Rattus norvegicus: one gene and its partners. The protein of the gene in region 5 interacts with the protein of the main gene of each other region in a pairwise test. Links are inferred from orthologs where the notes say so. Each region holds a gene or a part of one and is shown on either strand. Other genes may lie near its edges.

Region 1 (4,198 bases), on a different chromosome or scaffold from region 5:
ATCCAAGCTCCTGGACAACCCTCATCTACAGTTAGGCTCACTGTTTAATAAATGCTTTCTTTCCACTAACCACGAGTCAGATGGGTACCCAAGCCCAGGAACGCCATACTGAATAACACTTCATCTTTTTTCTTTCCTCTAGAAGATGTGGCTCTGAGGCTGCGGAGGGAGCGATGAGACAGAGGTGAAAGATGTGGTAATGGAGCCTTTTACTAGTTGGCCACCTCAGAGGACTGGGAAATTAACCCTCAGGGATCTGAGCCAAGAGACTGTGGTGAACGCCTGACACCTATTTCTGCTGTTCTCCGTGCATGCGTATTTAAGATAAAGTTTAAATTCATAAATTATGCACAGTAAGAGATGAACAAGAATTAATAGTGGAGCAATTACAACGATATGGTTCTAATTAATTTGGTGTGGATGTATTCCCTCTCTCAGAGCATCATCTCACTGCCAAGTGTGGTGGCACACACCTTTAATACGAGTTCTCAGGAGGCAGAAGCGGGCAGAGAGATAGCTGTGGATTCTAGGTCAGCCAGGGCTACGCGGTGAGACCACGTCTCAAGTAAAATAAATAGATGCATACTATTATTGCTGGAACTTTCTATTTCACGTTTCAGAGCTCGGGTAATAAAAATCAAGGAAGTGAAGCCAGTCCTCAGATAAGGAACAACCGATGAGCAGAAAGCCACCAATGGCTCGTAAGTCACTCCCTGTTGTTTAAAAGACACAGGAAAGTGCCCATAAGTGCCCAGGGATGATAACAGACTGGGTTTGCTTTCACACAGCTACCGAGCAATACAAAACACGGTTAATTCAAACACTTTAAACGCCACGCCTCACTAGTATGTTCTTTAAATCATACACATATGCACATACAAATATGCTTTTCAAATCATGTATGTATTGAGTGAAAACCTGGCTGCCAACCAAGACAAGCAGATGATGGGAACCCAGACTTTCCTTTGCTGTCCCAAGAGTGATCCAGGATATTCTGATCCTCCACACTGGGGCGCCTCCTTTGGGTGTAAATTTCTCACAGCACCTGCTGGCATTTCTTCTAGGCTCTGCCCCACAGTTACCTGGCAACAGCCAAATATACCTGACTCAGTATAAAAGGGGCTGCTTGCCCCCTCCTCACTCTTTTGCTCTTTGTCCCTTTTCTCCCCATTCTCCTCTACCCGCCTCTATACCTGATCAAAGCCTGCCTCTACTCTCTATTCTTCCTCCTTCTCTTCCTCCTCCTCCTCCTTCCTCTCTCTCTGTCTCTGTCTCTGTCTCTCTCTGTGTCTCTCTCTGTCTCTGTTTCTCTCTGTCTCTCTGTCTCTGTCTCTGTCTCTGTCTCTGTCTCTGTCTCTGTCTCTCTCTCTCTCTCTCTCCTTTCTCTGTTTCTTCTACCCCGTCCACTCCCCTCCCCATGCCCTAAATAAACTCTATTCTATACTCTTATACTATACCATGTATGGATGGTCCCTCAGGGGAAAGGGATGCCTCAGCATGGACCCACAGAGGCACCCCCTTCCCCCACACCTCTACTAAACATATCCCTGACTTCTTTTTCTTTTTTATAAAACACAATAGCACCCATCTCACAATGTTGGATTTCCAGGAAAATCAGCTCAGCTGTGGCTCTGGCTGTCAGGATAGCACTGTGCCTGGGATTGTACACATGGAACTTGAGGAAAAGAACAGACCAGAACCTTGTAACTGCTGTCTAGGGCTGACCTCAGCTCAGCCAAGATACACAGTTATTCTTGCCTCTGCTTAGCTTCTAGATAGGGAAGTCTGTTTCTAAGAGCATATTAATGTCTGGCTCTAGCAACCATCTACTTTCTTCAAAAGCTTCTCTCTATATTTTTTAAAGTACTAACTTGGTAAAAAAAATAAACTTTCTGAAATATTTTAAATTTCGGAGTAACTTACAATCACTCCACTAAATGCCCAGTTTCTACCAACCAGTGAAAACAAATGGTTATTGGATAATGGAATTAATTTTCTCTTCAGCTTCTGTGGGAAAGCACATGATTTTAAGGGTTATCTCAGATCGGCCTAGTGACCCTAGCTGGCATGTTGTCCCATCAGACGCTCTAGGAAACTGAAAACTTGAATAGCTACTTCCTAGGCCGCCTGCCCCAGTTTGACAGCACCAGACTCATCTCCGTTCTTATTCTAAGTACAGGGATCCAACCTCGCTTTTCAAAAGCGTATTAACAAAGCCTTGCAATTATAGTCGCCTTCTGACTCATTTGTGGATACCCGTGTAGAAACAACAGCTCCTCCCTCTGCTGAGAAATGCTCTACTAAGTGTGAGAGAGCCACAGGAAGTAAAACGCAGGTCTCAGCTGGTCTCGGCCAAAGAAGCCAAAAGAATTCCGTAGTGTGGTTCTTTAAGCAAAGCCACCAGATCGCTCCCCCCTAAAACAAACTCCCCCAAATCTTCTGTGCGGGCTGTTTCAACGCCTTATCAATGTTCCCATATTTCCTGGCTCCTGAGTCATACTGTCAAGTTCAAGTGGAGAAGTGCCCATTCTGATGTGCTTGAGAAAGTGGCAACCAAACGGAAAAGAAGCACCTCCATTCAATAAAACAATAAAACTGACTACACCAGTCATTTCTGAAGCACTTCTGATAAAGCCTTAGATTCTCAAAGACTTAAAAAGCTTTTGGCTCTAGGAGTGAAACCCAAAGCCGCGTCCTGAAGGTACCTAGAGGCGCAGAGGGAACCACACCCCAAACCCACCTGCTGCTGGGCAGCATCCCTGCCCTGGGCCAGTGAGGTCCGCCACTCCAGCCAGCCCCGCACCCGGGTCCCCGATGCCCAAAGAGTTTGAGAACCAAAGCACACTCCCGTGACGAAACGAACCGTGATCCGGCGGGGCGCTGATCCAGCGTCCGGACGCCGGGAGGACACGCAATGCTCGCGTCCCGGAGGCTCTGCCTCTTCTGCTTCTTGATGGCCAGGGCTGCGCTTCTCAGCCGGGTCCGAGCTCTGCGCCACCCCGGCCGCATCTGGCGCTGCTGGCTCCGCCCCCACCGCGCTGAGCCTGCACAGCTGGGGGACCAGGCCCCGCCCCGGGGACGCCCTGGGCTGGGCGCGCAGTTTCTCGTCCTCACGGACGAGAGTCGCCACGGTGCGGGTGGCTGAGAACCTAGACACGAGCCTCCCTCCACTGCTGTGCGCCCCGAGATGCTGCGGGCGACCGTGTGGACCACCCGGGAAACTTCCTCTGTCTTCTTCGGTGCTCTGGGATGGAGAGATGGGCGGAGCGGGATTCGTCGGACTTTCCAAGGGAAAACCCCTCGGCATGAATGACATTTGCAGTCCAGAGCATTTCCGAGGCTAGGACGCTAGAAACCGTTTCTGAGCGTGGGTGTGGCTGCGCCTGCAGAGACCCGCGCGATGGTTGAACCGGAGGTTGTGGATCTTGAAGACACTGAGCCCCGCCTTCCACTAGTCCCTTCCCGCCTGCTGTCAGTGGGGCATCCACGGGTACTGCCACGACCTCGTCCTCGTAGCCTGACACCCTACTAGAGACTCGGAAAGAGAAAAGGGGCTTTCGGGTGAGCGGATGGGAAGCCTCTGGACAAACACGGCGAAGGCTAACCATCTAAAACAGAAAAATGATGTGTGCATTGATGCTAGGAAGTCACCCAAAGAGCTCCGGGTGCCTAAAGCCGGAAGAATTTGAGGAACGAGGTGGCACTGGATGGTAACACAAAGTTATTCATCTAACGTGAACAGATGGCCGATGAAATAGGTCCACAAGTCTCCGGAGCAGAGCAACTTCAAGCAACCGAAGCAGAAACCCACTTTCTTGGAAAAGAAACTTGTCTCTCTGCACTCAATATAGAGAGCCTGCTCCTCTACATAGGGCTGTACAGAAAGGAGGAGGAAAGTAGTTTTTACCACACAGATAAATGATGTTGTGACAGTGAGCGGAGCTTGCCCCTGGTTCAACAACCACAAATCCACTTGCACACCCCCACTCCCACCCCCACCCCACGAAAATGCCTGACCAATCCTACTCACAGCTGTTGAAAGATCCTACGAGAAAAGAATCTTAACCGGCCACGGAAGATGCTGAGAAGGCTGGGAGGTGGGTTTCGGAATTAAACAAAAACAAATCGGTGGGAGACGGCTCAGAACTTGATGTTCTTGCGGAGGACCTGAGTGCGATTCACAGCACCAACATGGTGC
Region 2 (4,267 bases), on a different chromosome or scaffold from region 5:
TTAAGACAGGCTGGAGAGCTAGCAGCTCTTGTTGCTTTTGGAAGACAAGGATTGGATTCCCAGCCCTCACACAGCGGCCTAGAACCATCAGTAATTCCAGTTCCACGTAAGCTGAAGCCGAAGCCCTCCTCTGGCCTCCCCTGGCACCAGGGCCGCACACTGTCACAGACATATATGTAACCGAAACACCATTAAAAACAATTTCAGAGATGTAGAACTCTCAGCTGCTTCTCTAGCAGCATGTCTAGCTGCACACCACCATGCTTCCTGCCCTCATGGATTAAACCTCTGAAACAGATGTCCCACACCATGCCTTTGTCCATGCTCCCTTCATGATAGTCATGGACTTACCCTCTGATATGCAAGCCCCCAATTAAATGCTTTGTTTTAAGTTGCCTTGGGCATGGTGTCACCTCACAACCCTAGAACAGTAACCAACACACACCCATATATGCCACCAATGAGGGAAAACATGCAGTATCTGTCTGTCTGTCTTATTTCAACATTATAATTTGTGCTTCCATCTATTTTCCTGAAAATGTCACAATTCCACTTCTCTTTATAGCTGAATAAAATTCCTTATCCATTTGCCTGTTAAAGAAAATAATTTCAATTTTAAAAAGACAAGTTTAGCCTTAACTATACAGCACGCAACTAAAAAATAAATAAGGAGCTAAAACCCAAAAACATACAGTCTAACTCTGTGACCTAAACTGATCTCCAAATCATGGGAATCCTCCTGCCTCAGCCTCCAAAGGGCTGGGATTTCAGACGTGAGCCACCACACCTGGCTTGGCAGATTTTTTTTGTCTCTCCCGTTTTATTTGTTTATAAAGAGCGTTCACCATTGCACACAGCAATTAACTGAGCCACTGTGGACAAGGACAAAGTCCTTAATGAAGTAGTTTGCACTTAACATTCTAAAATGATAGATTGTTTGATGTGAAGAGTCAAGGCATGTGGGTAGGCAAAGGTAGAGAAGGTTTGTTTCCTTGTTCGGTTTTTTGTCTTGGTTTTTAACTTTTGGTTTAAGGATGGGCTGGCAGGTACTTATTAAACTTTCGAAATGTTATGTGTATGTGTGTTTTGTCTGCATGTGTGTCTGTGCACCACATTCTTCAGTGTACACAAAGGCCAGAAGAGGGCACTGGATCCCTAGAGCTAGTGCCAAGCAGCTGTTAGCCACACTGTAGGGGTTGGGAATCAAAGTCAGGTCCTCAAATTCTCTTAACTGCTAAGTCCATGTCTGTCTGTCTCATTGTTTGTGTGGTGGTGGCAGGGCTCAATTCAAACCTGGGGCTTCCAAAGTGCGAGGCAAGAACTCTGGCGGTGACTCCCCAGGCCATGTCAAGCTCTAAGGGGTTTTAAATTATGGTTTATTTGTTTAAGGGTTTGTTCATTTAATTTGTGTGCATATGTAGTTTGCTCCCATGAGTTTATGTGTACCATGTGTAAGCCAGAGGCCTGGTTTGCCAGGACCAGACATTTAGAACTCTGAAACTAAAGTATTGAGCTGTCATGTGGGCTCTGGGAACCGAACCCAGGCCCTCTGTAAAAGCAGCAAGCACTCTTAAGCACCAAGCCATCTCTCAAGCTCCGAGGGGCTGGGGAGAGCTTATCAGAAGCCAAACCTTCCTCCTAGGAGCCACATGGAAATGTGGGCACCCTTCAAAAGCTTCTAAAAAGGTTGGGCATGTTAACATCTGTGAAACAGAGGGCTGTGGACTTGGGAGTCCAGGTCATCCTTAGTCATGTAGGGAACCTGGAGCAAACCTGGGCTACATTCAACATTGTTTCAAAACAAAAACAAAAAACCAGCCCCTGCAGAGTACTGAATTCCTAACAACCTGCCACTCTTATCTCTTCAACGTGAAATGACAAATATCTCACAGCCTGACATAGTTTCCTGTCCTAGGTAGGAAATGTAGGTACCAGGTCTTTTCCTTGTCACCTACACAGACCAAGCCCCAGGACCTAAGCTGTGTGTTACCTGCAGCACATTTTAACTGCATATTCACCAAAGGCAAAAGTGCAAGTAAGCGATCATCAAACCTCTCCCCGGAGCCCATAATAGTGACCAGCAAATACCTGATAACGAGTTGGCGGTTCATTAAAATGACAGGTCCCAGTGAACTCAAACCAGTCACTAGGTAAGAGTGTCAAAGTGCTCTTTTAGAGAGATAAAAGTCCACATGCAAAGATAACTAATATTTATTACTGTTTAAAGATCGTACAGGAAAAAGATACTTCATTTAAAAGATAGCTGGCCAAGAAACCTCTTTTTGAAAGACTCTGAAAGAGCGAGCTTCGAAGGACAACTAGACAAAAAGAACTGAGGGTTTGGAGCCTGCTTACTTTTCTCCTCTGTGTTCTTCGTTTCGTCACCGCTCTCGGGGCAGCACTGCAGAGAAACAGGTGTGGCAAACAAGTTAGACTCACGTAAGTGGAATTCATACAGGGCTCCAAAGCGGAGACGTCCCAGGCACCTCTCCCAGAGGCATGCCTGACACTACTGCCACCTCCCCAGAGGTCTGAACCACCTCCCCAGGGTCCAAATTACCCTGCCCTGACACTGAGTCCACCTTCCCGCCAACTCTCAAAACTGTCATCTTCTGGGACATCGGACACTGCACCGTGACTACCTCCCCCGGGACGCCCTTGACTGCCTCGGACCGTGGGAACCACTGCCACACGCTTCCAAGTTACCCTGCGGGGACAATGTCCCGGGGGGGGGGGGTGATGCGTTCTGTGCCACCTCACAGGGTCACCAGAGTCCCTTCTCCGGGTTACCAGGGACGCCTCACCAGGGCTGCCGGCACATCGCCGATCTCGCCAGCTGCAAGCATCCTGCCTCCGCTCGAGTCCTGGATTCCATGCACCGCCAGCCTGGCCTGCAGAGTCCGGCTAGAGAACACACACACTAGGCGACCAGACCAGCCTTCAGGGACGCCGGGTTGAGCGCCACCTCGACTTCCTATCGCCGACTCTCTGGTTCCGTTCTCTTGGCCTAGAGAGGCGTATCTGTGGCGCCGCTGTCCTGTTCCGTGGCGCCGCCTGCTGGTTGGCTGTCAGATCGGCCGCTCAGGAAACCCAGCGACCCTACTGCTTCCCAGGCAGAGAGGGCTGGCTAGCATGCTCTTCTGTGGCAGAGCTCCCTTCACTTCTCCGGAGTTATTAAAAACAGAATTCGGCCCTGGCATAGTGACTCACAGTTGTAATCCCACAATTTGGGAGGTGAAGGCAGGAGGATCAGGAGTTCAAAGTCAGCTCCAGTTACACACTGAGTTCAAAGCCGCTCTTGACCACAGATAACGAGGTCTCTCAAAAAAGAGGGAAGAGAGGAAAGGAGAAAGGGGAGAGGGGAGAGGGGAGAGAAAATACTTTGGCCTCCTTATGATGGTTCAGTATCAGCTAGAGCATCATAGAGAACATCTCGAGATGGCTCAGTGTGTAAAAGCACTTGCCACCAAGGCACCTGGGTTCCATACCTGGCCCATGTGGTAGAAGGAGAGAACCGATTCCTTCAGGTTGTCCTCTGACCTCCAAACGCCTCCCCATCGCTCTATAAATAAATGAACGTTTTATACTTAGGCAAATCCCGATAAAAAAGAAAGTGCGGATACAGACAAGAAGTGTCAGGGTAAGTTACTAGGTTTGGCATGACTGGGAATTTGCCAGTGAATGCCAGTATCCAGATCTTTATTTAATGCTGGTCAGGTTGCTTAGAGATGATCTTATTTTTTAACGGGAAGGTCCAGTTCTGTTTGTAGGAGGCTTGGAGGGTTGAAACATTCTAGGAATCAGGCAGGGCACTCAAAAACTGGCATCCAGTTTGCCTAGCTGAGCCCCCCAAACCTCTACTGTTTTCCAGGGAGGAGGAACTAGAGTTACTTAGAAGCAAGAGATAGGTAGAGAACACTGAAATTTGACAGGCAAACCCTGGAAAATGCCTTTGAGACCAAAACAAATGGGACTAAACGGAGACAAACAAACAAAGAAACAGAAAGCCTTTAGAGGAAATAGAAAATACTCGCTGAGAAAAAACCTCACTGAGGTGCAGGCATACACGCAAACATAACAGCCATACACATAAAATGAAAATAAAAATTAGGAACCAGGAATAGTGGTCACACCTTTTGTTCCAGAACTCAGGAGGCAGAGGCAGGTTAATCTTTATGGGTTCAAAGCCAGCCTGATCTACAGAGTGAGCTGAAGGACAGATAGAGCTATACGGTGAAACTCTGTATCGATCGATCAATCAATCAAT
Region 3 (3,682 bases), on a different chromosome or scaffold from region 5:
GAGGGGGAAAGGAAGGGGAGGGGGAGGGGAGGGGGAGAAGAAGAAGAAAAAGAAGAAGAAGAAGGAGAAGAAGAGGAGGAAGAGGAGGAAGAAGAAGAGGAGGAGGAGGAAGAGGAGGAAGAGGAGGAGGAAGAGGAGGAAGAGGAGGAGGAGGAGGAGGAGGAAGAGAAGGAGAAGGAGAAGAAGAAGGAGAAGAAGAGGAGGAGGAAGAGGAAGAAGAAGAGGAGGAGGAAGAGGAAGAAGAGGAGGAGGAGGAAGAGAAGGAGAAGAAGAGGAGGAGGAGGAGGAAGAGGAGGAAGAGGAAGAAGAGGAGGAGGAGGAGAAGGAGGAGGAGGAGAGAAATAAAAGTGTCAAAAGAAAAAAAAAAAGCCAGCGTTCTCTGAGACCACATTGCCCATGAAAATCCTGTGGCAAAGGAAGGTGAAAACAGAAGTAGGTTTTGAATTTCACCCCTGGCTATACCCACACCATAGGTGAGGGGAAAGCTGGGATCTTGGTGGAGGGTGAGACCACAAACGGAGCAAGACCTGGACCTGCCTTTCTGAGGCACCTCCTTCCCAAAGTATCTGAAACATCCTCTCAAAACATGTCTGAAAACCGTCTCCAGAGCTGCAGTGTCTGTCGTATGCTGCAGACAGCAGCAGATGTGCTGTGCGCTGCCTGCACTAACGTCCAGATCTACCAGGATACACTGGAGTAGGGGAGTAAGGATAAAGACTCTCTCCTCTGGAATGCTTTAATTTAGGAACAGAAAATTTCTTAAGAGGAGCCAAAAATGACTCACAGGGTTGGAAGAATAGAACTCTAAATTAACTTTTCACTGTATCTTTCATGTGAACACCTAAAAAGAATTCAGATAATACAAATCAATATTGTTGCAAAAAAATGTGATTTGGAAACATGAGGTTATGGGTCTGGAGTGACAGCTCAGCAGCTAAGAGCACTGACCATCCATAGGACCAGAGTATATTTCAAAAAACTAGGAGGGTTTGAGTGTTTCCACAAGGAATGATAAACGTTTGAGGAGCTAAGTGTGTTTAACCTGATTGAAGCATTACATGATGCATACGTGTATCATATATTACATGGCATCCTGTTAACATATATAATTTAAGCATATATATATATATATATATATATATCAGTTAAAATATAAAAACAGAAATTTGGAAATCAATATACAACTTGGCAATTGACTTATTTTTTAATTTTGTAATTCTTCTTAGGTTCAATAAAATTAAACTGCAAATAATAAGCTAGTCACAAAACAGTGATTTCAGATCTATGGATGGAATATTAAGAACCATATCTCAAAATCCATTCTGAGACAGTGTCTTCCTTTTATCCATCTGCCCACCACGGCCTCCCAAGTAGATGAGATTTTGGTGGGTGACACTGCCCCTGATGTGCTAGTAACTTTGTTTCCATTTGTTTGCAGTGATAAGGTCTGGCTTGAATAGTCTAGACTGGCCTGGAGTTTCTTATGTAGCCAGGCAGTTCTCAACTCAATACCTACCTAGCTTTGCCTCCCAAATGTTTGTCACGTGCTACCATTGCAACTCATCATTCAGGTTTTTAATTGGAACTCAAACGATAAAACTAACTAGGCATGACTGCCCATGTCTACAATTCCAGTATGAAGGTGCAGAGGCAGGAGGCGAGGTCACTACAAGATCGGGGCTAATTTTGTTTCAAAACACTAAACATGGATAAATAAATTATAAAAATGAAAAGGCAAGTGTATATGATGTATAAACATAAAATATAAACATACCTAATAAATATAGTACATTTGCTAAATTTATTTCCAACCCAAAAACTGTTTTTGCAGGCTAGGGATATATATCTTAGCGGCAGAACACTTGTTTGGCATTCCTAAGATTCTAGGTTCAATCCCTAGCACTGTCTGTCAAAGAAAGAGAGAGACCAGCAGTTCGAGCCTGTAGCAGCAGCACTCCTCTAAGGAGATGAGAATCAGAAACAGAAGAACCCTGGAAGCTGGTGGACCAGGTGTCTAAAGTGGAAAAACAGCAAAGACGCACTGTCTGGAAACAGAAGAATGAGACAGAACCCACCCAACTGTCCTGACTCCCACGGGGCACTGAGGTACCCAAGTGTCTACATTCACACACACAAGACGAGCATACGCTCACACACTTCACACACACGCAGAGAGAGTGATACTTTAGACGATGCTAATAACGCAAGAGTTTCAGCGATCATTATAAAGGCATGATTAAAATATCAAAAGATGATCCAAATCTACCTTTAACATATACACTAACTGCACTCGCCAATATGCGTAAAGAATGCCTTTTCCTCATCAAGTGCTTTGTGTTAACAGAAGGGATTGGCTCCTAAGCTGTCAGTGTGTGATAAGCCCTGCAAATCACTGCGGTTACATTAATACATGAACTATACAGCAGGACAGAGTCGACAGTTTTAAGAGATCCCTATACATCTAGCTAATGAAGAACAAGCACAAAAAAAAGGGGGGGCCCAGAGCATGGGCTTGCGAAAGACGGTTAAGAGACTGACTGAGCCTTCAGCCAGGCGGTGGTAATGCACACCTTTAACTCAGTACTTGGGAGGGAGGCAGAAGCAGGGAGATCTCTGGCCAGCCTGGTGTATGGAGTGAGTTCCAGGATAGCCAGGACCACACAGAGACCCTGTCTAGAAGACAATAAGACAGAATGAAGCACTAAAGGCGAGATCCTGAAGAAAGGCCCATTACCTGGATAGACGGGTAAGTCCGGTTGTTGTCTGTGCTGCGCTCCCCTGGGATGCTGCCGGCTGAGCGACCTTCACACTTGTACCTAAACCGCATGCCCCTCTGCCTTGGCTGTTCAATGATTTCCACGTAGGGATTATATCCGCCTGAAAGTATTAAAAAGAGCGGGGCGATGAGATTAGAATGGTAATACGATGGACTTTAACAGCTTGGTTTTCAAAAAAAACAGACACCGAAAGATCTTTTTCCTTCCCCACATTAAATGACAAGGTTAAAAAAATGTAATCATCAAAGGTTAAATGAGGAAGACACCATTTTCTTGTACAGACTGAGTTTCTACGTAGTAGTGACGCATAACTGATTAGTGCTCTGCTGCCTAACGTCTGTACCTAATAAGTGCATGAAGTTCTCAGGTAACAACTTTTAGAGTCACCTGCCCCCTGAGGCCAATCAGAAGATTTCTCTCCCAACATTTCCCAAGAAGGGCGAAGAACACAGTATTCAGAGATACACTATAGTCCAAAACCAAGTAAAATGTACCTAACTGCTTTGTTTTACACTACCACTGCGTGAAAGGACATTCCCTGAAAATTAAAATGTACTTATTATGTCCTTGTATGGGCAAGTCTGGAACACCAAAGGATCTGTACGCAATATCCCAAAACAGTACACTGACTTTGGGCTCAACTACAGTTTCAAATTAGTTCTATCTAAATCTCCTCCAGAATGTAACATACAGTGTGGAGTTAATAAAGTCATTTGCTTTCCATAACAAATGTAATTCATATGCTGAACACATGCAACTTAGGATAAAACACTATTAATAGAACTATCAACGTGAGTGTGTTGAGTGAAAGAGGCTAATCGAAAACAAGCACACACTATACCACCCATTTACATGAAACTCCAGATATGTAAGCCAATCTATAATGAAAGAAAGCTGAGCACTAT
Region 4 (3,682 bases), on a different chromosome or scaffold from region 5:
GGGAAGGCAAGACCAATGGGCTCACCTTCACTAAAGCCTCTCAGTGGGAGAAGCTCAGGTCACAGCATGAACTACCTTGTGGCACTGAGGGTGAAGGCCCCAGGCTGCCCCCACCTCTTTGTTGGAGAGGGTAGAGCAGCAGGACCTGATGAAGGAGGGACTCTCCATTATCTGGGCAGAGTTTACAACATCAGCAACATAGTCTCAAAGAGCTGAGGAATGAAAGGGAGGCTGGAAAGGGAAAAACAAGAAAGGTATTGATGCCTATGTGTATGGAAGGAAGGAAAGCAGGACAAAACAGTAAAGCATGTCTGTTTAGACTGCTATTTCATCTCTGTGAAATGTCCATGTCAGATGCATTCCTAAAGACAGAAGGCCTTAGAGATGGGATGGGGAAGGGACTAAAAACTACAGGGTTTTTTTTTTTGTTTTTGTTTTTTGGTTTTTTTTTTTTTTTAGGGTAACTTTAACCATACTTTGAAATGAATGTGGTATTGACTCTACAACTCCGTGGACCACAGCACAACCACGAACCAAGCACTCTGAATGGGTGAACTGCTAGGTTTGTTGATTATAGCCTCAATGCTGCTTTGTGGTAAAACCACTGGCAGGCTGGCCAGTTTGCTCAGCAGGTAAAGGTGATTGCCACCAAGCCTGACAACCTTGAGTTCCATCCCTAGGACCCACATCATGGAAGAAGAGGGTGCCCACTCCCATAAGTTATCCTCTGCCCCTCACAATGCATAAGCTTTCACATTAATGATAATAAAAAGACTTTTAAAACAGCAGCTGGAGTGCTGGCACACATGTATAATGCAAGTACTCAGGAAGCTCCAAATTCAAGGTCAGTCCGAACTAATACTGAGTACCAGACCAGCTAGGACTACATAGCAAGACCCTGTCTCAAAGATAAATAGGACTAAAGAGACAGATCAGTGGTTAAGAGCACAGGATGCTCTTCCAGAAGACCCAGGTTCAATTCTCAGCACCCAGTGAGGTTTACAACCATCTGTAACTACAATTGCAAAAGGATTGATGGTCTCGGTGGGCACCAGACATGCATGTGGAACAGACATACTTAGAGAAAAAAGACCCAAACACATAATTCAACAAATTCTGTGATTAAGCCCAGGAAAGGGTCTAAGGTAGTAGTCATAGTATTGAGGAAACTTTTCTGTGTTTGAAGTTTTACCAAAATAAAATCAGGAAAAGGAAGAGGAGCTTGACTCAACCACTGTTACTGCTGCTCCACTGTAACCCAGGGAGGCTTCTAAAATCTAACCTCCATCTCTTGGTGCTGACTAGCTACCAAGCATCCCCAATTGACTCACAGCCACCTGAAATTCAATATGCCAAAATGTTAAACTCATGTCTTTCCACCTTGCGTGGTAACATGCAAGAACAGGGAAGCCAAGACTATCCTCCCATGATCCATTTGTCCTCTCTCCCCTCTTACCTATCTGGACACTCCCCAGTGTGGAACTGAAATCTAGGGTACACTGGCGACTTATGTTCCTAGAGAGCCTGCTAAGCTTCACAACATTCCCAAACTAGCCTGCTTCCCAATTCCTTTCCTTCCAGGCCCTGCATTAGGGAGCTAAGATCCACCCAGCTGGCTCTGGATACTGATTTGTTTGTATGCTGATACAATCTCATGGAGTCCAGGCTGGCTTTGAACTTACTACATAGGGAGCATGAATTTGAACTCCTGATCCTCCGGCCTCTGTCACCCAAAGCTGGGATTATAGGCACACAGCACCACACCTGGCCTAGACACTGAGCACTAGATTTTCAGGCCAGCAGAGCGGGAGTTCAAGCCTCAAGAACACAAGCACCTCATCCAGGAAAATGAATAGGGCCAGACATGGAGATTCAAGGGGCTCCTAGTTCCCACTGAAAAAAACCAGGACACAATGGTCTTAGGAGGTCAGGAGGGAATCCACTATATGTCCCAGTCTAGGATCTAGCCATTTTGCTCCTTACTCCTGGACAAGCATTTGCTCACCATACCTCCATTTCTCAGTTCTTTGGGGCTGAAATGACAGACACATTCATAGCAGCCAGTACTCTTATTTTGTGTCTGGTAGTGTCTCACTAGACCCTTGGTAACCCCATTTTACTGGGGAAGAAATAGAGGCATAAAGAGAGCCGGAGTCCAAGGAAATGGGCAGGACCTTTGGGCCAAGACTCCCAAATCCCAAAGCTCTTAATCCCATGGGCCCACCTCGGCGAGTGATCTCTGCTTTCAGCAGTCCCTCCATGGCATCTGACTCAGCCAGGTCCAAAGGCAGGTCCCCGTCACTGTTGACAGCAGCGATGTTGGCCCCATGGCTCAGGAGGTACCTAGGGAAAAGGAAAGGTCAGAGCTGCCAGGCCTGGACCCAACACCTAGCCCAAGCCCTTCCCTTCAACCCTTGCCTCACCTAGCAATGTCCAGGTACCCACAGGAGGCAGCCACATGCAGAGGCGTCCAGCCCTCGTTGTCTGCCTGGTTCACAGTAGCACCCTGCTCCACCAGGAAGCGAACGACTTCCAGGTTCTCATCTATGCAGGCCTGAGGATGGGAACAAGCCCATCAGCTCGCATCTCACCCAGCCAGAGGCCCGACACGGAGACTTTTCTACAAAGGGACCCAGGGCCAGTGAGGAGTGTGGAAAGCAATGCAGATGGCTCCAATGTAAGTCCCAGGGGTCCTCCAGCCACCAGCAGCTTAAAATATCCTAGTTACTCCATGTTTGGGTCACCTGAGCATGAAGAATTCATAGAGACAAGAGGAGGCTCCAGAAGCCAGGATGAAAATGTAGACCTGGAAAAATAGGACTGCCATCCCTGCATGTTATTGCTGAACATATTCCTGAGATGGAGGAGCCCCAGAGCCCAGACATGGCCTCCCAAAAGACAGGGCGCCTTGATCAGACACGACCCAGCACAGGTAGTGGAAGAATGATCACCCAGCCCTGAGTTCCATTCATAGCACAGGAAAAAAAGATTATCACCACAAAAAGACACACATGCACCTCCTCCCAGAGACAAAGCTGAGGTCCAGGGGCATATTTCCCAAATTTTCCTGTGCGCAGGTCCCTCAGAACATCTTTTCCAAACAACCCACACCACACTACTCCCCCCTCCCGCCACACACACACACACACACACACACACACACACACTTCCTCACCCTTAGAACTGAAAGCTTGGGGAGAGGAAAGTCTCACCCTAGCCAGCACAATATCCAGAGAGCTGGTCCCCATCCCTGATGACACTGGCTAGACACTGGAACCACTGAGTCTAGGGAGGGGGTAGGGTCCCCACTCCTGGGCCCTCATGAAAATTAACCCCCTTCTTCAAGTTCAACCATCTGGAGAAAGAGAGAAGGAAGCTACGAGGGCCAAGAGCATGAAGTCATGGAAATTTAGGCTGCAAGAGGGGGGCCACACGTGCCCTGGGAACGGGATGAACTCTGGGCTTCACTCTGGGCTCAGTTTATTTCCACCCTGTTGTCATGGTGATGGGAGGGGGGGCAAGGAGGCAGATGGGCCTTTCCCTTTCAAGGACCTGGCCGGGCACCGGCATCCATGTGAAAGATGCCTGAGGCTGGGCACTAGGGACCCAAGAATCTAGGCCCACCTCCTCCTCCCTCAGACACAGAACTCTAGCCAATCCTCTTTTCTTAGACCTAGGGGGC
Region 5 (4,136 bases):
GCTCACTGTGTCTTCCAAGAGCAGCGAACACACAGTGAATCAGTCAATTCACTGTCACCAGAGAGAGAAATATGATGGTGTATATAAGGTGCCTTTAGCAGTGCCTACATATCATTCTAATGCTGACGCAAAGGGACTCATCACTAAAACAAAGACTGCAACTTCCCAATGGACAAGGAATCTCCCAGCCCAGAACTCTAGCTCTAAAGATCCGGCTGTGTCTTACAGTGTAAAAACAGGAAACAACCCAAAACCAGCAAGTCTGTAAGTCCTGCTTATACACTGTGACTTAACAAACAGAAAACAGAGTATCAGTAACGCCTGAGTTGTTACTGTTTTGTGGACTGGTTACACATGTATCCACTTGTGTGTAGAAGGAGGTGGTGGTGAGGAGCCCAGCTTAAGTGGCAGGCACACTTCAGAATCCCGGCTCTAATTCTCACTGGCTCTGTGATCAGGACAATCAGTTTATTTTCTGTCTTCTTGCTTCCAAATGCATAAGCAGGGTTAAGCCAGGGGTGTACAAGGTCCTGTACATACAGTCTTTAATCCTGGCTCTCACTGACTCTACAGAATACCAAGGAAGACTCTTCTTCCTCTCCTCTTCTTTTCTGCTTTTGTCATTTCTTCAGTTATGTAATTGGTTTGGGGTTATTTTTATTTGTTTGTTTACTTACTTATTTTATTTTGAGACTGGGTCTGTCAGTGTAGCCTTGATTGTCTTGGAACTCTCTACGTAGACCAGGCTGGCCTTGAACTCAGAGATCTGCCTGCCTCTGCCTCCTTAGTACTGAGATTAAACACTTGGCCTGGTTTGGGTTTTTTTAAAACAACCTACTCCAGGCTGGCCTCGAACTTACAGACATTCAATCTTAGCCCCCTGCATGATTACTCCTGACTTGCTTCTGTCAACTTTTGTAGGCCCACCATGACTGAGGCTGAGATGCCCTACAGCCTTAAGATCTGTCCATCAACAAAGGGGGACACAGAGCATCTTACAGCCTCTCAGTTAGCTTGTCCAGGACAATGTCACCAGCCTCTAGTTGCTTGCGCCTCAATCGCTCCTGCAGGTCTGGAAAGGGACGAAGGGCTAGCACATCCTCAAACCGCAGACTTTGTGCAGCTTGCAGCTGCTCAGCCAGATTGCTGAGAGAGGAGAGGAGGGGCAAGCAGTCCTGCAGAGTGCTCTGCCACAGGTCCTGCTGTTCCTCCACCACGGGGAAGCACTTCTTCAGGGCCTCCTGCACAACCAGCAGCGGCTGGTCATGAGCCATCTTCTGGGTAGAAAAACAAAACAAAACAAAACAAAAGAGAGTCAGGGTACCAAAAAGGGAGAGCCTACATCAAGGGTGAGTCATTTTTGACCTCATGAGAAGACCAGATTTGGTTTTCAAATAGTCCCAAGGCAATATTGAAAGGTAGGGAGACTCTAGGTGACACAGAAAAGAACTCTTCGTCCTGGAAGCAGGTTGACACTTTCGACCAACAATGAAGTAAGAATTTCAGCAGCATACTTACCAACTGCTTAAGGCCTTCCTTCCTTCCATGTTCTAGAAATCTCACCAGAAATCCCATTTACAGAGAAAGGTCACACACTACTCCATTTACAACCAACTGCTTAAGGCCTTCCTTCCTTCCATGTTCTAGAAATCTCACCAGAAATCCAATTTACAGAGAAAGGTCACACACTGCTCCATTTACAACCATAGGAGCTCCTGATTTCACTTTATTGGATTGTAATACCATCAGAGAATATTGGAAGCCCTCTCACTTACTTCTCTTCTCAAACAACTTTTTGTTTGAAGAGAATAACAAGGGTTCTTTAGAAACCCTTTTGAGATGTAACCTGAAAGCTACCAAAATAAGTATACACGGCTAATGTAATATGACTTTAATCCCAGCACTCTGGAGGCAAAGCCAGGTGATCTCTGGGTTTGAAGCAAGCCTGGTCTACAGTCCCAGGATGGCCAGGGCTACAGAGAAACCCTGTCTCAAGAAACTGGGGGGCGGGGGATGGTGTCAACTGTTGATCTCCCTGGAGAAGACCAGACCCACATGACTATGTCTAACTTTCTGAGATTGTTTGAGCAGCCTTCAAGTGTATTCTATTTTATGCCTAAGTGCTTCTCTCTTAATCCCTGTGCTTAAGCCTGTATTAAAAGCTTTAGGCTGGGAGTTGACGAATGTACCTTTAATCCTAGCACATGGAAGACTGAAACAGGCAGATCTCTGTAAGTTCGAGGCTAACTTAGTCTACACAGAGACTGCCAGGCTAGCCTGAGTTAAATGGTGAGCCCCCGTATCAAATGTGTGCATGTAACTCTGCTTCATAGACTGGCTAGTGCTGAGTTCTTTCCAGCCTCAGAGCCATCAACTGAGCTGAAGTCCCTAAAAGGTTAGGGGAACTCCTCACCTTGCTGAAGTAGGCAGAGTGAAGCTGTGCTCCTCTGTCTTGTCACCGCTGACACTCAAGAATAAAGATTGCGGCGGTCCTCTTACCAGTTCTCTGCAGAAGGACTGCAGGTCTTCCGAAGGGGTTTCTAAACGACAGTGCAATCTACTTTAGATTGCGAAGCCCTGGGGTCTGTCTATCCCCGGACCAGTGCTTCTGGAGTCTTGTCTCCTCTCTTTAAGATTTCCAGCCCTGTTCCTAAATCAACAGGAAAACGTAAATCCTGGGTTGTCAACACTGAGTACATCAAAAACTACACGGGGCTTGGCACTGTCTGCTCATTCACAAGACCGAACTCACCACTCCAGTTCTAGTTAGCACGACTCTGGAGTCGCGAAAAGATGGCGTATGCCTCAATGACTTCTGGGCATTGTAGTTCTCCATAAGGATTGGCTGACGGAGGGAGAAGAAGCTTTGTTGTGATTGGACTTTGTGAGAACCGTCCTAAGACGACGATTTGCTATTGGCTAGGCTGTGCCCGTTGAGTTTGAATTGGGTGGCGGTTAGTGGAAGATCAACCCGTCCCTCAGCTGGAGCTGTAAGGTTTCCTGAGTCTGTTTTGGGACCCCCAGGTTTGTTTCCGCAGAGTTCAGGATACCTAGACTCCAACGACTGAACTTCCGCTGCTCCCCGACCACTCACGCCCTCTTTCCCGGTCTCATTCGCTAACCCGGCAGCTCGGCCCCTCGCTGGACGCACCCTGGTGTCATGGCTCCTAAGAAACGCAGCAGCCGCGGGACCAGGACCAACACACTGCGGAGCCGGAAGCTCGCCTCCTTCCTAAAGGACTTCGACCGCGAGGGTAAGGGGTGGATTCGCGTGATCGTGAGTTTTGGGTGGGTTGGGGCGCGGGTGCGACGGCTTCGCACACCTGACGCGGGATCCATCGGCTTTCACCTCTTTGCAGTGCAAGTTCGAACCAAGCAAATTGAGTCCGACAGGCAGACCCTCCTCAAGGAGGTGGAAAATCTCTACAACATCGAGGTCCTTCGGCTCCCCAAGGCGCTGCAAGTCATGAAGTGGCTTGACTACTTTGGTAAGAGCTGCTAGCGTTTCCCCCGTGGCCGATTAGTGCTTATCTTGAAAACTTTCTATAGGGACTCATTCAGATGTCTTAATAAGGTCTTAAATAGCCACCGGTGGGAAATTGCCATCTGTCATAACTTATAAAAAAAAAAGTGATAGACCCATTGGAAAGAAGCGGGCATGAATTACCCTTCAGATGAGTGTTATTAGGATAGTGCTTCACACTTTCACTGCTCAGTGGGAGGAGAGCTTTAGAAGGTATATACCAGAGATAGATGAGGGGGGGGGAGGGGGGGGCTGAAGGAAGAGGGAGGGAGGGAGAGGGAGGGAGGGAGGGAGGAGGAGGAGGAGAAGGAGGAGGAGGAGGAGGAAGAGGAAGAGAGAAAAGATCAAATCCATAGTACAAAGTGAGCTTCTGATTCTTGAAGGCTTTCAGAGGTTGGGGAAGGCCGTTCCACACTGACCTGACCTAGCCTAAGCTAGCCTAGGCAAGGATGCAGGCACTTGGTAGGACTATAAAAGTTTTCCTGCCGATTTACAGAGGAGGGAGAGAAATGCAAGACCAGGATACATCATGTTTTCTCCGCATCTCTGTGTCCAAGGGGAGAGTTGCAGGAGGGCACATCCATATTTTGGAGAGGAAAGAGGCAGTTTATGA
Region 6 (4,397 bases), on a different chromosome or scaffold from region 5:
TGATCTTCAATAGTGTACCAAGAAAATTGATGCTTGACTTCGGTAGTCTATCAATGGGAACATTCATTCTCAGTCAACCCCAGTGACATTATCCTTCCTATTGATTATATTTCCCATCTTTGTAACGTATTAATACACTGGGTGGTTGGCACAAATGTTTATTCTCTTTACTTGTTTTGGTGTTTAAACGAGTTTCACCATGCTAAAACAAGCTTGGCGTTGCTGTGTGCTTACTTGCCCCTGGTAAAGGTGATGAAAACCACTGCTAGTCAGTATTAAGACCATTATATTAAATAACGTTGAATTAAGACCGTTATATTAAATAGTAAAACAAATTGGGAAGAGCTTGGCATCTCACTTTCCCTGTTTCCCCACCCAAAAATAACTTGTGCCTGAACAAAAATTCCTTCGTGTGCGCAAATAATCTTTAGGGCATTGGTTCAGCTCAGAAGTAGGTCAGTTTCCCCCTTGCAGAAAGAAAACAGGGAATGGGGCTTCTGGTCCTTCCTGAGGTAACTACCAACCTGCAGAAGCAAATGGAGCATTTGTGCTCATGAAGCCCAATCTGAGGAAACCCAGCGGATTCTAATGCCTTCTTAGGAACCTTCTCAGTGTCTTAGGATTTCACGCACATTCAGCAATAACCGCTAAACAAAATGACAGTGTGGTAACATTCTTAGACATAACTAATCATGATGGAGCATTAAAAGTTCACCCTGGACCTAGAAAATCGCAGGTTCAACGCGGCTGGGAAGGAAGCAGTCAGCCCACACTGGGGTCAAGAAAAGTTTCTATCATCTTTCAACCCCTTACAAAATACACAGCCCTTACTGTCCTACACTGCAAATGCGATTTTTTTTCAATTCTTCAAACTAATGCCTCAAATTGTATGTTCTAACTTTCAAGTCGCTAACACAGAAAATTAAATAAATGCAAACACTGTGCTAGTTAAGTGATGTCTTCCAAAATCTGTATCCAGGTTGCCTTGTAACTACAGGGAAGATTCAATGGAAGAAAGAAAGAACAGAAAGAAAGAAGGGAAAACGGAAAGAGGAAAGATAGGTAGGAAGGAAAGAAGAAAGGAAGAAAGTAAACATCTTTACAATGAGGAATATAGTTAAGGGCTTTGTTGTGCTTCCTGGAAATTTTCAGTTTTACTGGGCTGCCGGGATGTACTGGCTATTGAACTTTCAGGCCCCTGAATTCTTCTGGGAGGCTCCCCTTTTGTTGGGCTGCTCAGGTTACCCACACTTTCTCTGTATCTTCTTCCAGCGCTGTCAGAGCTGTTGTCTGTCAGCTCTCTTCGCTGCACCTCCAAGCAGTACTCAATTGGTGAAGGCTTTTATTTTCCACTCTTGAAATTCAAAAGTTTTGTTTCCTTTAGTTGGCTGATTGATTTTTTTTTGCTTGTTTTGTTTTATCCTATGTTAGCACCACATGAGTGTAATCACTATAAGAATACCCTTTCGTCAAGCCCTTATCTATTTATTCGCAATTTTCAGATGTATTCCTTAAACACTTCTAGATTACTGGATAATGTCTTTTTCGCCAAATGAATAGAATGCTTTTTAAATATCATTTTAAGTAAATGCTATTTAAGGAACTCTGAAAATAAAATGTAAATAAAAAGTTTTGGGTTTCTTTTTCTTTCTTTTTTTTTCTTTTTTCTTTTCTATTTTTGCGTATTTTGTCAAATCCAGTTAAAGTTCAAGATATTGTGCAATAATGTGGAAACCAAGCTAATGATAGGAAAAGTCTAGCTGTTCAGAGTTGGGAATTGGAAAGAAAAAGTCAAAGAGAACCGCATGCACGCACACACAGAGACATGCACGCACGCCCAGAGGATGCAGCATCCCAAAGAGCACACCCCGCCCAACCAGTGGATGGACCGCCACGCTCCTTAACCGATTTCGCATAGTGTCACTTGCTCTTTCTTCAACGCTTCTGGAAAACTGATTTGCGATCTTGGGGGGCTTTGAACGGCTGGATGTAGATATATTAACTTCAGTGAAACACGTGCTCCTGAATTACAGGGCCGACCCTGCATAGATGAATTCGGCCACCAGAGAGAGGAAACGCTAGCTGCTTCTTAGTTTGTCTTTCTACAAGAACCATCCCTACCTCCCCTGCATCTTCCTAGCCCAGAGCGCACTCTCCCCAGGATTGTTTTGCCGACACTCACCTGAACTGTCGCTTTTTCTTTTGCTGCCACTTCTCTTCTCCACTTCTGCGGGTGACAGCGCTTGACGGCCATAATCCCCTGGTGCGCACGCGGCTCCGGTCGGGGTGCTGGAGCCCAGGCTAGAAGAGTTGGAGCACAGGACCGGAGGGCTGCTCCCCAGCTCCGGGGGCCCTCCGGAATCAGGCTGCAGGCAAAGGCTGTGCCGGGCCGCGCTTGGCGGGGAGGACATCTGCGGGAGGTGCCAGTTGCTTTGCAGAGCCTGGTGCTGCTGCTGCTGGTGGTGGTGATGGTGGTGGTGGTGGTGGTGGTGGTGCCCCCTGTGATGCTGGCTGGCAAACATGCCCTCCTCATTGGGGTATCCCGCGATTATGCAAGACGAGGAAGATGTGGAGAGTTCGGGGTAGGACATGTGGTCAGATCTTCCATGGAGGGCCAGAGAAGACTGCGAGAAGGGGTGCAAGCCTTGCGCTGTGGCGTGGGGGCTGCGCAGGCAGCCAAAGAGGGGGTGTTCCATGGCATGCAAGTCTCAGCTTCCAAGCAGAAGACTTCACGAAGGTCCCAAAGTCCACCAAGCGCTGTCACTTTTCACTAGAAATCCTAGGACTCTCCCCCACTCACTCCTAATGTAAAAGCCGCGCGGGTTTGAGCAGAGCCCGCTAATCCCAGTCCTGAGCCGAGCGGCCAGTCTCCTGCACGTATAAACACTAGGACCTGGAGGAGCTTCCCTTGCAGCTGCTCAGATGTCAAGTGTGGGAGAGGTGGAAGCCAAAAGAAGGTGGTCCCAGAGAACTGCTTTCAGGGGGGGAAATGGCTCTGAGAGGTTATAAATAGAGTGTAATGTGAGCTGGGGGCTGGCTTAGGAGCCCAGCGCTGACCACATGCAAACTCCCTCCAAAACTCCCGCTCAGTCAGCGCCACCGTACTCTCTCATTTCCAGTTCCCAATTGCTGGCAGGACAGGAGCGGCTGCCCCACGCCCGTCGGGTCCTGGGAGCTTCCACAACAGTTAGTGGAGCGCCCAGAGCCTCAGTAGCTCAGGGACACCACCGCGATCTATCCCATAGATTCCCGTGGCCAGACACAGAAGCACTCGACTATGCTAAGCCAGCACCCCGTGTCTGTGCTCGCTCACTGTTCTTGGAACCTAGATTTCCCAGCCTTGGTGGGGGTTGCAGTCACCTACAGGCGCTCTCTGACTTTTCAGATCACAGAGAACTTATTAGAGTTCAAGAGAAGGAAAAGAGCGAAGCAGTCTAGCTTTTCAAACTCCAAGACCACTCGCACTTCCCGCATTCAGGGGCACATTATATTTTTCCCTTTTAGGTGTTTTAGGATAGATTGTTAGAAAACCCGCACCAGAGAGGAGGTTGTAGGGCTGAGCACCAAGGATAGCACAGAGCTACTCTGAGTGCGGAATGGAGAGGTAGCCAGTGGGGTGTGCCTTAAGCAGAGATGGATGCAAGTTCTGGTGCCTTGGTGGCACATATTTATGTGCCACTCCAAGTGGTGTCCCCCTTTCTTCTGTTTCTGACCGTGTCCTCCCAGCCCTATGTCTCTTTAACAACCCAGTTTGTTCAATTTCCTCAACACTCGCTCACTGGGAAAGTTTTCTGGGTCAGGAACAACCCTAAGAAACATCAATTGAGCAAGTATAAGTTGCTCCCAGCTTCACCCTTTCTAGTCTAACCCTACAGGAGCCAATTCACACACACACCACCCCGTCCCCCATCCGTTGAGAAATGAAATTTCTTTTTTTAGCTTACAGTGCTCCTCTTTGCATACATTCCGTTCGTTCCTTGCCACCTCTCTGTTTTAAGCAGATAGCAAACTCAACATTTCCTCAGAGTCGACCCTGCTATGATGGTTCATTTCCCCCAGGTTTACAGCCTGGGCTCCTGGAAGTGAACTACGAAACTTGCCCACTGGTGAATTTGTGAGAGCCGGGTTGCGGTTGACACAGCCTTTAGCTTGCTTGACCTGCCACAGAGTCTACTAGAGGTCCTCTCTTTAACCCACAACAAGCTTTGGAGAATGAGCTGCAGGAAAGTGGGTCCTGTCTGTGAAGTGTCTACAAGGAGGATGTCTGCAGTAGCCTACTGTGTTCAGGGCTTGGGCGTGCCACTACGGTTAACTGCCATATGTTTATTGTCTGGGTGACCAGAAGATGATGGTCAAGTCTTTGAAATTGCTAATGGGATTAATGAGTACAGCAACCT
Region 7 (3,682 bases), on a different chromosome or scaffold from region 5:
TGACACGTGAGGTGTGCGGGAGCTGTTGAGTCCTTCCATCTAACCACTCCCATCCTCCCTTGCTCCCCAGAGCAATTCTCGAAGCTCCAGTGACAGAGCCCAGGTTCCTGGAGCAGCTCCAGGAGCTGGACGCCAAGGCGGCTGCGGTCAGAGAGCAGGAGGCGAGAGGCACGGCCGCCTGTGCAGACGTCAGAGGCGTGCTCGACCGGCTCCGGGTCAAGGTGGGGAGCGGCTGCTTACAGTCAGCTTCCCAAGAGCTCCACATTGCTTCCCGCTATGTAGTGTCAGTGTCAGTCCTCCCCTGAAAATCAAAGGAGGCTTGCAGTGTGGCTCCATTGGTAAAGCACACAACCCTAGGTTCCATCCCCAGTGCCTCCTGCGTTGGCAGGATGGCACGAGTCTGTCGTCCTAGCACTCAGGAGGTGAAGAAGAAACGGAGTCTGGGGCCAGGCCCCAGATACATGAGTGAGACGCCATCTCAGAACAAGCAGTGCTTGCACTGGCAGTGCGGGTACTAAAATTAGAACAACACAGAGAAGATTAGCATGGCCCCTGTGGGATAACATGAAATTTATAAAGCCTTCCATATTTAAACAAAACAAAAAGCCCTGAAAAAATAAGGCCAGCATGGCGATGCACTCACCCCCAGCATTCAGGAGGCAGAGGCAGGCAGACCTCTGTGAGTCCCCGGCCAGCAAGGGCTGCTCAGAGAGACCCTGTTTCCATAACCAGAGCACTAATGAAGTATTCTTCCCTTACCTTTATTTTCTCCTGTGTCCCCTCTCTCACTTCCCACCTCACGGCCTGTCTGTACCCCACATCCAGGCGGTGACAAAGATCCGTGAGTTCATTCTCCAGAAGATTTACTCGTTCCGAAAGCCGATGACCAACTATCAGATCCCCCAGACGGCCCTGCTGAAGTACAGGTGGCCCCCCCGGGATGGGCACAGGGTGACCATGAGCGAGCCTCTCAGCCTCCAGCGTGGGCATCCAGGGTGTCTGACTCACCCCGGTCCTTCCAGGTTTTTCTATCAGTTTCTGCTGGGCAACGAGCGTGCTACAGCCAAGGAGGTCAGGGATGAGTACGTAGAGACGCTGAGCAAGATCTACCTGTCATACTACCGCTCGTACGTGGGGCGGCTCATGAAAGTGCAGGTGGGCCAGGCCAGAGACGGGGGGAGGGGGGAGGCTGGGGGGGCTGGGGGGGATGTGGAGAGTGATGGCTCAGCTCTCTGTTGTTTTCTCTAGTACGAGGAAGTTGCTGAGAAAGACGATCTAATGGGTGTAGAAGACACAGCAAAGAAAGATATCCTTTAGAGGGGAGCCTCACACCGGGCTCACGGCGGGGACGTCCAGCTCCAGCATGCAGAGCTATCTTCTTTTCCTTCCTTCCATTTCTTTTTCTTTTTCTTTTTCTTTCTTTCTTTTTTTTTTTTTTTTTATAAGTACACTGTAGCTGTCTTCAGACGCACCAGAAGAGGGCATTGGATCCCATTACAGATGGTTGTGAGCCACCATGTGGTTGCTGGGAATTGAACTCAGGACCTCTGGAAGAGCAGTCAGTGCTCTTAACAGTCCAGGGCTGTGTTTTTTTTACCTGTTCTGTGTTCACACCTTTGAGGATGTGAAAGCCAGAGCTTCCTCTCTAAGAAGCACATGCCATTCTGACAGTTTTTCACATTTATTTCAGAGGGTTTGGGAAGCCTCGACAGCCATTATCAGTGTCAGGAGAAGCAAGGCTCTGGTTCTGGAAAAGGCCTTCCAGGCCTTATTTAGCTTCTTGGGATCCTCAGGCCTTGGCTTGTTGGGCCTAGTGCTGTCCATCTCGTTTTTTTCCCTGACGCGGATGTGGCTCACGATTCTTCTCGAAGCCGTCCCTGCGAAGCAGGAACACCATCTTTACCCTGGGCACCCGTGGTGCTGTCATCTCACCGGCCGAGCTCGAGGCCCCCATCCTGGTGCCCCATACTGCCCAGCGTGGAGAGCAGAGGGTATGGCGAGGCGATCCCTACATGGCCTGGGATCAGTTCCCTACCTACGTGTTAGTTTGGGGGTCCCTGACCCGCTGTGATGCGGGAGGGTTAGGAGCCATGGAGAGCCTTGCAGAGGGAGACTGGCTGTGGGTGTGACTGTTAGGGGGCAACAGTTGCAGTGGGTGTAGGGGCAGCAGCAGCCCCTGGGGAGGGCTTTTCTTGTGACCTGTGTCCCCTCTTCAGTGCCTGTATGGGGTGCTCCTCCCTGCCTGGAAGTTGGGTATGTGGTCTTGTGAGCTCGCATTCCTAAGCTGTGCTGAGTCTCCATACCCACGGGGTCGGTGTGAGACCCATCCATGTGTCTCTCTGACCTGTAGTATCCGTTTGAAGCCCGTCCGTGTGTCTCTCTGTCTCGGTAGTATCCATTTGAAGCCCGTCCATGTGTGTCTCTGTCTTGGTAGTACCCGTTTGAAGCCCATCCGTGTGTCTCTCTGTCTCGGTAGTACCCGTTTGAAGCACTCTTCCGCAGCCAGCACTATGCCCTCCTTGACAATTCTTGCCGTGAATATCTCTTCATCTGTGAATTTTTCGTCGTCTCTGGCCCGGCTGCCCATGACCTGTTCCACGCCGTCATGGGCCGCACGCTGTCCATGACGCTGGTGAGCTTCTGACTTCTGTGCCTTTGCCCTCTGTCCTCAGAGCTCAGCAGCAGCCAGTGGGGTCACAAGTGCCTTGTCCCCAAAGAATTGTACGTGTTTGCCTACAGCCACTCGAACAACAGCTAACGTTCAGTTGTCTGCCTGTTGCTGTGCCACAGAAACACCTGGAGTCCTACCTGGCCGACTGCTACGACGCCATTGCTGTTTTTCTCTGTATCCACATCGTTCTCCGGTTCCGCAACATAGCAGCAAAGAGGGACGTCCCTGCCCTGGACAGGTCACTGAGCTCCCGTCCTTGGTGCATGGAGGCGGTCAGCTTTTTTTTTTTTTTTTGGTTCTTTTTTTCGGAGCTGGGGACCGAACCCAGGGCCTTGTGCTTCCTAGGCAAGCGCTCTACCACTGAGCTAAATCCCCAACCCCAGCGGTCAGCTTTTTATCTAACACAACTCCACCCTGACTCTTCCTCACCCTTATTCCCTCCCATCCGTGTGTCCCAGGGGCAGCATTGGTGTCGGGCACACCCACTCGCTCACCCATGGGCAGCCAGCACCCCTAGCCAGCTGACCTTTGACTCTGATTAAGCCTGCAGATACTGGGAGCAGGTGCTGGCCCTGCTGTGGCCTCGATTTGAGCTCATCCTGGAGATGAATGTGCAGAGCGTCCGCAGCACTGACCCCCAGCGCCTCGGGGGGCTGGACACCCGGCCCCACTATGTAAGGGCAGGCGAGGGAACGAGGGGCGGGCAGTCATACTAACTGGTAGGCTGGGTCAGCTTGGGCAGACAACTCCTGTCCTGACTGGGGCAGGAGCTGCAGAGGCAGCTGGGGTTATATGTGACAGGCAGGCAGGTGTGAGCCTCCCTTTCTTGCTCCGAGATCACACGCCGCTACGCCGAGTTCTCCTCCGCGCTTGTCAGCATCAACCAGACCATCCCCAATGAGCGCACGCTGCAGCTGCTGGGACAGCTACAGGTGGGACAGCTGCAGATGGGACAGCTGGAGGTGGGGACAGCTGCAGATGGGACAGTTGCAGGTGGGGACAGTTGCAGGT

What was found.
Region 1: the proteins of Airim (region 5) and Stx11 interact in binary tests that used the Homo sapiens proteins (3 or more experiments, as listed by UniProt). The two-hybrid records come from large-scale screens. The link is inferred for Rattus norvegicus from reciprocal best matches to the Homo sapiens genes AIRIM and STX11.
Region 2: the proteins of Airim (region 5) and Rint1 interact in binary tests that used the Homo sapiens proteins (3 or more experiments, as listed by UniProt). The two-hybrid records come from large-scale screens. The link is inferred for Rattus norvegicus from reciprocal best matches to the Homo sapiens genes AIRIM and RINT1.
Region 3: the proteins of Airim (region 5) and Rel interact in binary tests that used the Homo sapiens proteins (3 or more experiments, as listed by UniProt). The two-hybrid records come from large-scale screens. The link is inferred for Rattus norvegicus from reciprocal best matches to the Homo sapiens genes AIRIM and REL.
Region 4: the proteins of Airim (region 5) and Ppp1r12c interact in binary tests that used the Homo sapiens proteins (3 or more experiments, as listed by UniProt). The two-hybrid records come from large-scale screens. The link is inferred for Rattus norvegicus from reciprocal best matches to the Homo sapiens genes AIRIM and PPP1R12C.
Region 6: the proteins of Airim (region 5) and Meox2 interact in binary tests that used the Homo sapiens proteins (3 or more experiments, as listed by UniProt). The two-hybrid records come from large-scale screens. The link is inferred for Rattus norvegicus from reciprocal best matches to the Homo sapiens genes AIRIM and MEOX2.
Region 7: the proteins of Airim (region 5) and Vps52 interact in binary tests that used the Homo sapiens proteins (3 or more experiments, as listed by UniProt). The two-hybrid records come from large-scale screens. The link is inferred for Rattus norvegicus from reciprocal best matches to the Homo sapiens genes AIRIM and VPS52.

Annotation. Positions count from the first base shown.
Region 1 is NC_086019.1:9,137,288-9,141,485, forward strand, and holds the start of Stx11 (syntaxin-11), read right to left. Parts: upstream 2,933-4,198; 5' UTR 2,864-2,932; exon of another isoform or gene 2,741-2,863; intron 1-2,740. UniProt on the Homo sapiens protein: SNARE that acts to regulate protein transport between late endosomes and the trans-Golgi network.
Region 2 is NC_086022.1:12,245,150-12,249,416, forward strand, and holds the start of Rint1 (RAD50-interacting protein 1), read right to left. Parts: upstream 2,969-4,267; 5' UTR 2,847-2,968; coding exon 2,805-2,846; intron 2,402-2,804; coding exon 2,356-2,401; intron 1-2,355. UniProt on the Homo sapiens protein: Involved in regulation of membrane traffic between the Golgi and the endoplasmic reticulum (ER); the function is proposed to depend on its association in the NRZ complex which is believed to play a role in SNARE assembly at the ER.
Region 3 is NC_086032.1:101,911,786-101,915,467, forward strand, and holds part of Rel (proto-oncogene c-Rel), read right to left. Parts: intron 2,878-3,682; coding exon 2,735-2,877; intron 1-2,734. UniProt on the Homo sapiens protein: Proto-oncogene that may play a role in differentiation and lymphopoiesis.
Region 4 is NC_086019.1:78,365,765-78,369,446, reverse strand, and holds part of Ppp1r12c (protein phosphatase 1 regulatory subunit 12C), read right to left. Parts: intron 2,555-3,682; coding exon 2,424-2,554; intron 2,344-2,423; coding exon 2,225-2,343; intron 1-2,224. UniProt on the Homo sapiens protein: Regulates myosin phosphatase activity.
Region 5 is NC_086023.1:142,482,096-142,486,231, reverse strand, and holds the start of Airim (ribosome biogenesis protein C1orf109 homolog), read right to left. Parts: upstream 2,846-4,136; 5' UTR 2,500-2,845; exon of another isoform or gene 2,414-2,499; intron 1,278-2,413; 5' UTR 1,275-1,277; coding exon 1,000-1,274; intron 1-999. Other genes in the region: Cdca8 (borealin), read left to right, coding at 3,161-3,254, 3,360-3,488. UniProt on the Homo sapiens protein: Part of the 55LCC heterohexameric ATPase complex which is chromatin-associated and promotes replisome proteostasis to maintain replication fork progression and genome stability.
Region 6 is NC_086024.1:59,582,516-59,586,912, reverse strand, and holds the start of Meox2 (homeobox protein MOX-2), read right to left. Parts: upstream 2,889-4,397; 5' UTR 2,697-2,888; coding exon 2,183-2,696; intron 1-2,182. UniProt on the Homo sapiens protein: Mesodermal transcription factor that plays a key role in somitogenesis and somitogenesis and limb muscle differentiation. Required during limb development for normal appendicular muscle formation and for the normal regulation of myogenic genes.
Region 7 is NC_086038.1:4,926,941-4,930,622, reverse strand, and holds part of Vps52 (vacuolar protein sorting-associated protein 52 homolog), read left to right. Parts: intron 1-70; coding exon 71-221; intron 222-496; exon of another isoform or gene 497-593; intron 594-825; coding exon 826-926; intron 927-1,022; coding exon 1,023-1,155; intron 1,156-1,248; coding exon 1,249-1,306; intron 1,307-1,857; coding exon 1,858-1,991; intron 1,992-2,434; coding exon of another isoform or gene 2,435-2,476; coding exon 2,477-2,632; intron 2,633-2,739; coding exon of another isoform or gene 2,740-2,790; coding exon 2,791-2,909; exon of another isoform or gene 2,910-2,943; intron 2,944-3,214; exon of another isoform or gene 3,215-3,221; coding exon 3,222-3,345; intron 3,346-3,507; coding exon 3,508-3,603; intron 3,604-3,682. UniProt on the Homo sapiens protein: Acts as a component of the GARP complex that is involved in retrograde transport from early and late endosomes to the trans-Golgi network (TGN).